Daphnia pulex: one gene and its partner. The protein of the gene in region 2 purifies or fractionates together with the protein of the main gene of each other region. This does not show direct contact. Links are inferred from orthologs where the notes say so. Each region holds a gene or a part of one and is shown on either strand. Other genes may lie near its edges.

Region 1 (3,754 bases), on a different chromosome or scaffold from region 2:
AAATTCAAAACTATAATGATTTTTGTTTTGAATTGAATTGCAGGCCAGTTTGTGATCACATGGGCTCCTAATGCTTACTGTGTGTTTGTTATAATATCTGGAGTGATCTCACTTACAGCTTGTTGTATTCAAATTCACAGACTTGGCCATTTCCTTTATAGAGGGCTTGACAGGTTAGTCTTTTAAAATATGGTCATCATACTTGCAATAAAATACCTCTTTATTATTTACAGCTCTTTCTTGTCAGCATTTGTTGATGCTGTTGGCAGTGCCTTTCTCTGTTTTCTTTCTTTAGCATCTGCCATGATTATCACTCTTGGATTTGGCACTTGGTGCGGAGACATAACCCAACGATTTGAAGAGTAAAGAGTTTGTCTCATAATAACAATAAATATCAACCACATACTTTTATAAAATCACAGATGCAGTTATGCTGAAGATGAAAATATCGACCAAGTGGATAATATCAACACCTCTGGATTTTACTTGTTGTTGGGAACTGCACAGGTTTTTTTTCCTTTAATTTTCATTAAAGAGATGAATAATAATAATCAGTTGATTTTATAGTTTGGAGCTTGGGCCTCCTGGGCATGTTGGGTGGGATTGGCTGTCTGTGCAGTTCTTAAGTTATGTCGTTATCACCAACGAGAAAATATTCGAGTCAGCATGGCAAAAGAGCGGTATGTCAATTAATTTTAATCGTGTTCGGAAATTTTTTTATAAAAGAGATGTTTTTGTTGTTGTTTTCTTTTAGGAGACGTTTGTTGACAGATGGACTTCCACCGCGAAGCTCTAGCGACGAAGCGATGCTCGGTTAAAAAGTTTATAATTTGTACATTGTCCGTTTCCTTCGCAAAGCTATGTATTGGCTTATGAATCTTCTTTTTACCTCTCAATAAATGTATCAGAATATATCCCCTTGCAACGTAAAACGTAATTAATAATAATACGTGTTGTTATATCATATGCACCGGCTGCACCGCCGATTGTAGAAAAAGCGAAATAAATCACATTAACATCACTTTTTTTTTCGTAATAATACCTTTGATTCTTTCCCTCTACAAATGATGTCCGCCCAACCAACAGTTCATTATGACTTAATTTTTTCCTGATCACGTGAAGCTTGATATATCGTGAACGAAATAATTATTTTTTATTTTTCCGTGAAAAGCGACGTGAAAGTCATACCGAAATCGATTATAATCTTCTATATCGATAGTGGATGGTATCGATTATAACTGCTTAGGTTAAGCAACTTTTAACACAAGGAGGCGTAGAGGAGTTTGCTGTTCGTCATATTCAGAGAAAAAAGGGGCTGCTGTCCGTCGTTAATTCAGTCTCGTTCACTATTACATCTCCGCGCAAAATTTCATTTTGATCGAGTACATTAAGTGATCATATACGTCCAAAATGAACCCCGAATAGTAAGTACATCGTTACAAGTGCCAAACCCTTTTCGTCGTTCAGATCAACGTTCGAACGATTCAGTATGATGACGTATAGCTTTTTGGGGGCTTTCGTAAGTGCTAATCCCATGCAAATTCCAGCCATTTTAAACAACTTGCTGTTTGCTCTTGGTTATTTTTTTTTAATTCTTAAAATGTAATTTCTGTAAATTTTTATAGTCTACATGTTTTCAAGGCTGATTTCACTGTTAAGGAAATGCCCCATACCACCCTACCAACAATGGCTTACAATAGTTGGGTGTCATCAGTGGTTTAACAGTATTATTTTTCTTTTTTCTTTACAGTGATTATCTTTTCAAACTTCTCCTTATTGGTGATTCTGGTGTTGGCAAATCTTGCCTTTTGCTCCGATTCGCTGTAAGTCAGAAACTGGTGGTCATTTATTTTATTAATATTTGTTTTACTATTCAATGTTTCTCTTTTAATACAGGATGATACTTATTCAGAGAGTTATATCAGTACCATCGGTGTTGATTTTGTAAGTTTATTAACTCATACCAGTCAGACTCAGTCCATAATGTTAATTTGATTTGCAATATGCAGAAAATTCGGACAATAGATTTGGATGGAAAGACAATCAAACTACAGATCGTAAGTGACACATTCATAGCATTGGTCCTTTTCAAATGTAACTAAAATATTCTTGACTACAGTGGGACACTGCTGGCCAAGAACGATTCAGGACAATTACGTCGAGTTACTACCGAGGTGCCCATGGTATCATTGTCGTCTACGACTGTACTGACCAAGAGTCGTTCAACAATGTGAAACAGTGGCTCCAGGAAATCGATCGCTATGCATGCGAAAACGTCAACAAGCTCTTGGTTGGTAACAAATGTGACCTGAGCACCAAAAAGGTCGTCGATTACGCCGCAGCCAAAGTGAGATAACTTACAGTAGGAAGCTGGTTTAGATTTCATTTAAAACTTGACGTCGTTCTCTTGATTTTGTAAAAGGAATACGCGGAACAGTTAGGTATCCCTTTCCTAGAGACGTCGGCAAAGAATGCTACGAATGTTGAACAGGCCTTCATGACTATGGCGGCTGAAATCAAGAATCGAATGGGTCCTCCTTCCGCTCCTTCGGATGGTGTTGGCGGAATCAACATCAACTCTTCTTCAAGACCAGTGGAACAGTCGAAATCGGGATGTTGTTAATGGATTAAGAAAAAAGGAAAAAAAATTCAAGAGATCCAACGTTTAATAACAACAAAATTCGCAACCTCCCCTTTTCTCCCTATTTCCCGTTTCTTGGCCTCCAACCAAAGTCTAAAAGTTAAACAAAAAAAAAAATTTACCAATTTTCTTTCTTTTTTCCTATCTCTCTCAAGCTGCATTGATCGATTTGTTACCCCAACCGTATCTATTCTTGCACCCACGAGAGAATAAGAAAAAAAAAAAAAACAATCTAAATAGTGTCGTGTTTGATCTAGGTCCGAAATATTTTTTTCCAGCTGGAAAGGGTTGATTTTTTTCTATCACTATTTTTAAAAAATGCCAACTCCTCCCTCCTTCTTCGTGTAAACAGCTTGTACGCGCCTGTTTGTCGCTGTTATTTTGGGGAAATATTGGATTAATTAAAAAGAAAACACTAAATTAAGCAAGAATCGATTGTAAAGAGAAGTTTCAGTTTCGGTGAAAGAAAGATTTTCTTTTTCTTTTTTTGCTCGTCATTCCATTTAGATCCATTTTCGTATCAATTTGCGATTATTATACACAATGAGTTGAATTGAAATTTTTTTTATTTTTGCAGTAAAATTGGCTTTTCAAATTAATATTCTCTCCAACGCAAAAGGAACCATGGGGGAAAAGTAAGTAAATTACAAAGCAGATAGGAAAGTGTACACATGTGTGCATCAACGGACAGTGCTGGAAGACTGGAACACGCACAATTGGCTCTTGATTCTATCTTGTAAAATAGTTAAAAAGCTTCACGAGGCACTTTGATCAATACTTCAATTTTTCCCGAAAAGGAATTTTAAGTGTTTGGTTAATAGTCATCCCACGGACAAAATAGAAAGTTCTTCACTGGAAATGAATAGTCGAGGCACTTTTTGCACGTTTTGATGCCGCACCGATAGCTGAGGGCCTTACCGGTTTGCTGATCGTGCCCGCGACAAAATTTCAGTCCACAAGGATACCTATGTGATAATAGCAGGTGAATTAGGACTAAAAAGTTATTCTGTCGATTTCAAATAGCCAATTACCAAGGAACACAAAAATTTAACCGGCATTGGCAGGGCATTGAGCTCGAATTTGTGACGGCAATATCTTTGCAACGGCTAGCTG
Region 2 (3,754 bases):
TACAAATGCCGGGATTCTCTCGGTCGGCATTCATCCCCCCGACACACGAGCCGCGGTTTCATCATTTCGGTCGGAATCTTGTTTTTTGGATTTTGAGCCGGCACGGAGAACACCAGCTGCCATCTTTCGGCTGCCAACGCCGTTGCTGCTGAGAAGATCGTGACGAAATCCGGATGCGTTTTCACACAAACTCCTCGGCAGTAATTATTATCGGATTAGCTGCCTGCAAGTTGGCTGGCTAGTTAGGTGCCCACGAAAAGTGACCCATTATCGCTCTTACTACTGCAGAGATATGACCAATTTAGTTGCTGGTTTCACCGTTGCTTGAGCCAAATTGTGTTACACAACTTGTAACAAGATAAGCAAAATATTTGCTGACTTTCTACGGATTTTTTAAAAGGATCAGAAAATGGCCAAATATTTACACACATCTTTCGGTTGATATTAGTAGACTAGGCAACGGGGCTACCAGATGTAGAACGTGACTGATTTTTCCGCTTCAACATGTTTACATGTATAGAGTGAATTATTAAGCGCAGGTAAAAATAGGTGCTGATGTAATGCGTCAAACGATCCTGTCATACTGATATACTATTGCGATGTATGGAAATAAATGTTGATTCTTGGAAATCGAGTTTTCATTGCGGAATATAATTACAAATCAATTTTTCATTCGTCGGTAAAAAATTTCGATTTTCTTCCTACACGTCGGATGAAATGGACAAGCGTGTTGTCCATTACAGATTCATTTTTGATTCCCCAATTTAAACTTTGTTAGATTGAACCTGGTATAAGGTCCTGTTACATCCAAATAAGTTTTTTATCTGATTTATCTAGACTTATACCTTTATCTGAATCGAGTTCGAGGCGGATTTCCCCATCGGAATTTTTTAATTGGTAGGTATAAAGCTGCCACCTATCAATTGAAATTGAAACTAGCAAGGAAAACAACTATTTTTCCTTTGATAAAATAAAAATCGTCATTTATGTTTCATCGCAAATATCGGGTCAAATATTGCAACACATTTCTATCTACATTTTCCCATTGACACAAATTAATGTTGTCATAGTTACGATCCGGACGGGAAAGATAATTTTTTTTTAAGGGCTTATGTGTATGAATGTCCAGTGACGGACTGATTGACGAGGGTTATATTTACACAAGATAACAATTCTTTCGAAAGAAAATCGCCTAAACCTTTGCACTACCATAACTGTCATAATTTTCCCGTTTTTTTCTGTGCTTACGTTTACACAATTCACCAAATACGAATCGCGTACCGTGGGAAATACCTTCTGGTTTTTTTCATTTTTGAATTTTTTTACGCCACGTCGCAACTTGCAAGCAGCAGGCTTGTTGCCTTGACGACCAGGCAAAAATCGACGTTTTTACAGAGAGAACCCTACCTGCTTGCCAAAGATTATACGTGTACAAAAGTTCTTCTATACGTGTAAGAAGGCATAGACGAGCCTCCGAATGTCAACAAACTCATCAGCCAGAACGAAGTTACAACTGTAGTGCCCTTTTCATAGTTTAGTTTCCTTCTTCTTGAGTTCTTGAGTTTGTTTTTCGTTGTCTGCGACTGATGAGACGTCGAGCGTATTGCCACAAAGCCAGTATTATTCTTTCACAAGTGCACAGGTCAGATTACCTCCTCTACTTAACAAAGTAGCTCATTACTCTTCAAATAGATACAGTTCAGTTCTTTTGACTAGAATAATTTCCCCAAAAAAAGGATCAAGTCATTATTATTTCATTACATCCAAATGTCAAACTCAAAGTGTATTCATTTGGCATTTAATCATTCATAGTTTGGTGCTTTCTGGAGTGGTTGTTCTCACTTCTCACAGTTCTTTCTGGTTACAGGTTTTGATAGAAAAATGAATCGTGAAGGGGTTGTTCAAAGGAGGACTGCTCGTGTGGGGACTGGTGGCGGAGGACCTGTTGAGATATCGTCAGGTCCAGCTGATGTTGAAGACCGCCGTACAAGTAATGATACAGATGATATGGATGATTTGGATTCCAAAGAAACAAGACTCACCTTGATGGAAGAAGTGTTATTATTGGGCCTCAAAGATAAAGAGGTATACATAATATTTATTGTGTCATACTTGGTCCATTTCCCCCCTAAATTTAATTTTTTTAACTTTACAGGGCTATACTTCATTCTGGAATGATTGCATATCTAGTGGTCTTCGTGGATGCATATTGATTGAGTTAGGCCTACGTGGTAGAGTTGAACTAGAGAAAGGAGGAATGAGGAAACGATCCCTATTGGGGAGAAAAATTCTACTCAAGAATGACTCACCTACTGGAGATGTTCTCCTAGATGAGGCACTCAAGCATGTCAAGGAAACAGATCCCCCTGAGACGGTACAGAATTGGATAGAATACCTCAGTGGTGAGTGTCATTTGTTTAATCCTCCAACTTTAGAATTTTTCATTGATTTTCAAATATTTTTACAGGAGAAACATGGAATCCCTTGAAACTAAGATATCAACTGAAAAACGTCCGGGAACGCCTGGCCAAAAATTTGGTGGAGAAGGGAGTATTAACGACAGAGAAACAGAATTTTCTCTTGTTTGATATGACCACTCATCCTCTCACGGACAATATCATGAAAACTCGTCTTGTCAAAAAGGTGTGACGTCTTCACATTCTCAAAGCCAGCCATATCATTAAACCTTTTGTTCCTTTGACCAAACCATCTACAGGTACAAGAAGCAGTCTTATCCAAGTGGGTAAACGACGCTCATCGAATGGACAAACGCATGCTGTCACTCATCTTCCTGGCTCACGCCTCTGACGTGTTAGAGAATGCCTTTGCCCCATTAAACGACGACGACTACGAGCTGGCCATGAAACGGGTTCGTGAACTCCTCTACCTTGACTTGGACAACGAGAGTGCAAAACCTGGAACCAATGAGTTGATGTGGGCTGTTTTTGCTTCCTTTACCAAATGATAACGTTATTATTGTTACTAATATTGTATTGCTATCCCTTTCGTACACTCCTATCCCTTCCCATATCATTTATTTTTCTTATTTTCTTTGCCTATCCCCTTTCTTTTGATCCTTATTTAGTTTCTTTCTTTTTTTGTTCCGCGTCTCCATTATTTTTCCCGTTTTTTAAGCTACTGGCCATCGAAAAAAATAACCCTACCTTTGTATACCTACATAGCTGCAGCCAGGCTAGATTTTCCAATTCATTCCTTCTTTCAAACCATTTTTCAGTTATTACTAGCCCCTCCTTCTTTTTTTAACAATATTTAGAATATCCTACGAGTGTTATTAATTTTCTCCATTTTGAGTGTGCGTTGGGAAGCCTCGATTTATCTAAAAATCATTTCCAAAATTACCGATCACGCTCACAGTGCACTTGTTTCCTCTTTAATTCAAGTTTTCTTTAAATGGTGAAAGGGAAAATATTCATTTAACGAAACCACTATTATTATTATATAGCGAACTCTCATGATTTAACGTGGGTTGAAACGTGGAGGAAAGTGGGCAGAGGAGAGAGACGTTTTTGTTACAATTCTGGGGAAATCCCGTTGTGGTATGTATTGTAAATATACCTTCCATCGGGAGCGCAGCGCGCCATCTTTAAAAATACAACAATATAAATGAAATGAAAAATATGTAACCTGCAAACTGTGAAATGATTTGCGGATTGCGACCCTCAAAAATTCATTTGGATATGTGTGTTTAACAACTCCCTTTAATCGGCTAATGCTATATATTAGGTACTATATT

Evidence for each region. The genes of interacting proteins can lie anywhere in the genome.
Region 1: the proteins of Golgi phosphoprotein 3 homolog sauron-like (region 2) and ras-related protein Rab-1A purify together in Drosophila melanogaster (affinity purification with western blotting; 3 studies listed by BioGRID, with this or other methods). This does not show direct contact. The link is inferred for Daphnia pulex from reciprocal best matches to the Drosophila melanogaster genes sau and Rab1.

The regions. Positions count from the first base shown.
Region 1 is NC_060025.1:1,302,670-1,306,423, forward strand, and holds ras-related protein Rab-1A, read left to right. Parts: upstream 1-1,222; 5' UTR 1,223-1,410; coding exon 1,411-1,424; intron 1,425-1,750; coding exon 1,751-1,823; intron 1,824-1,896; coding exon 1,897-1,944; intron 1,945-2,009; coding exon 2,010-2,057; intron 2,058-2,119; coding exon 2,120-2,347; intron 2,348-2,422; coding exon 2,423-2,623; 3' UTR 2,624-3,200; downstream 3,201-3,754. Other genes in the region: transmembrane protein 179-like, read left to right, coding at 44-173, 234-362, 423-507, 568-680, 755-818; out at first protein-like, read right to left, coding at 3,456-3,606, 3,673-3,754.
Region 2 is NC_060019.1:8,788,789-8,792,542, reverse strand, and holds the start of Golgi phosphoprotein 3 homolog sauron-like, read left to right. Parts: upstream 1-969; 5' UTR 970-1,642; intron 1,643-1,867; 5' UTR 1,868-1,881; coding exon 1,882-2,085; intron 2,086-2,155; coding exon 2,156-2,402; intron 2,403-2,467; coding exon 2,468-2,643; intron 2,644-2,716; coding exon 2,717-2,965; 3' UTR 2,966-3,754. UniProt on the Drosophila melanogaster protein: Phosphatidylinositol-4-phosphate-binding protein that links Golgi membranes to the cytoskeleton and may participate in the tensile force required for vesicle budding from the Golgi.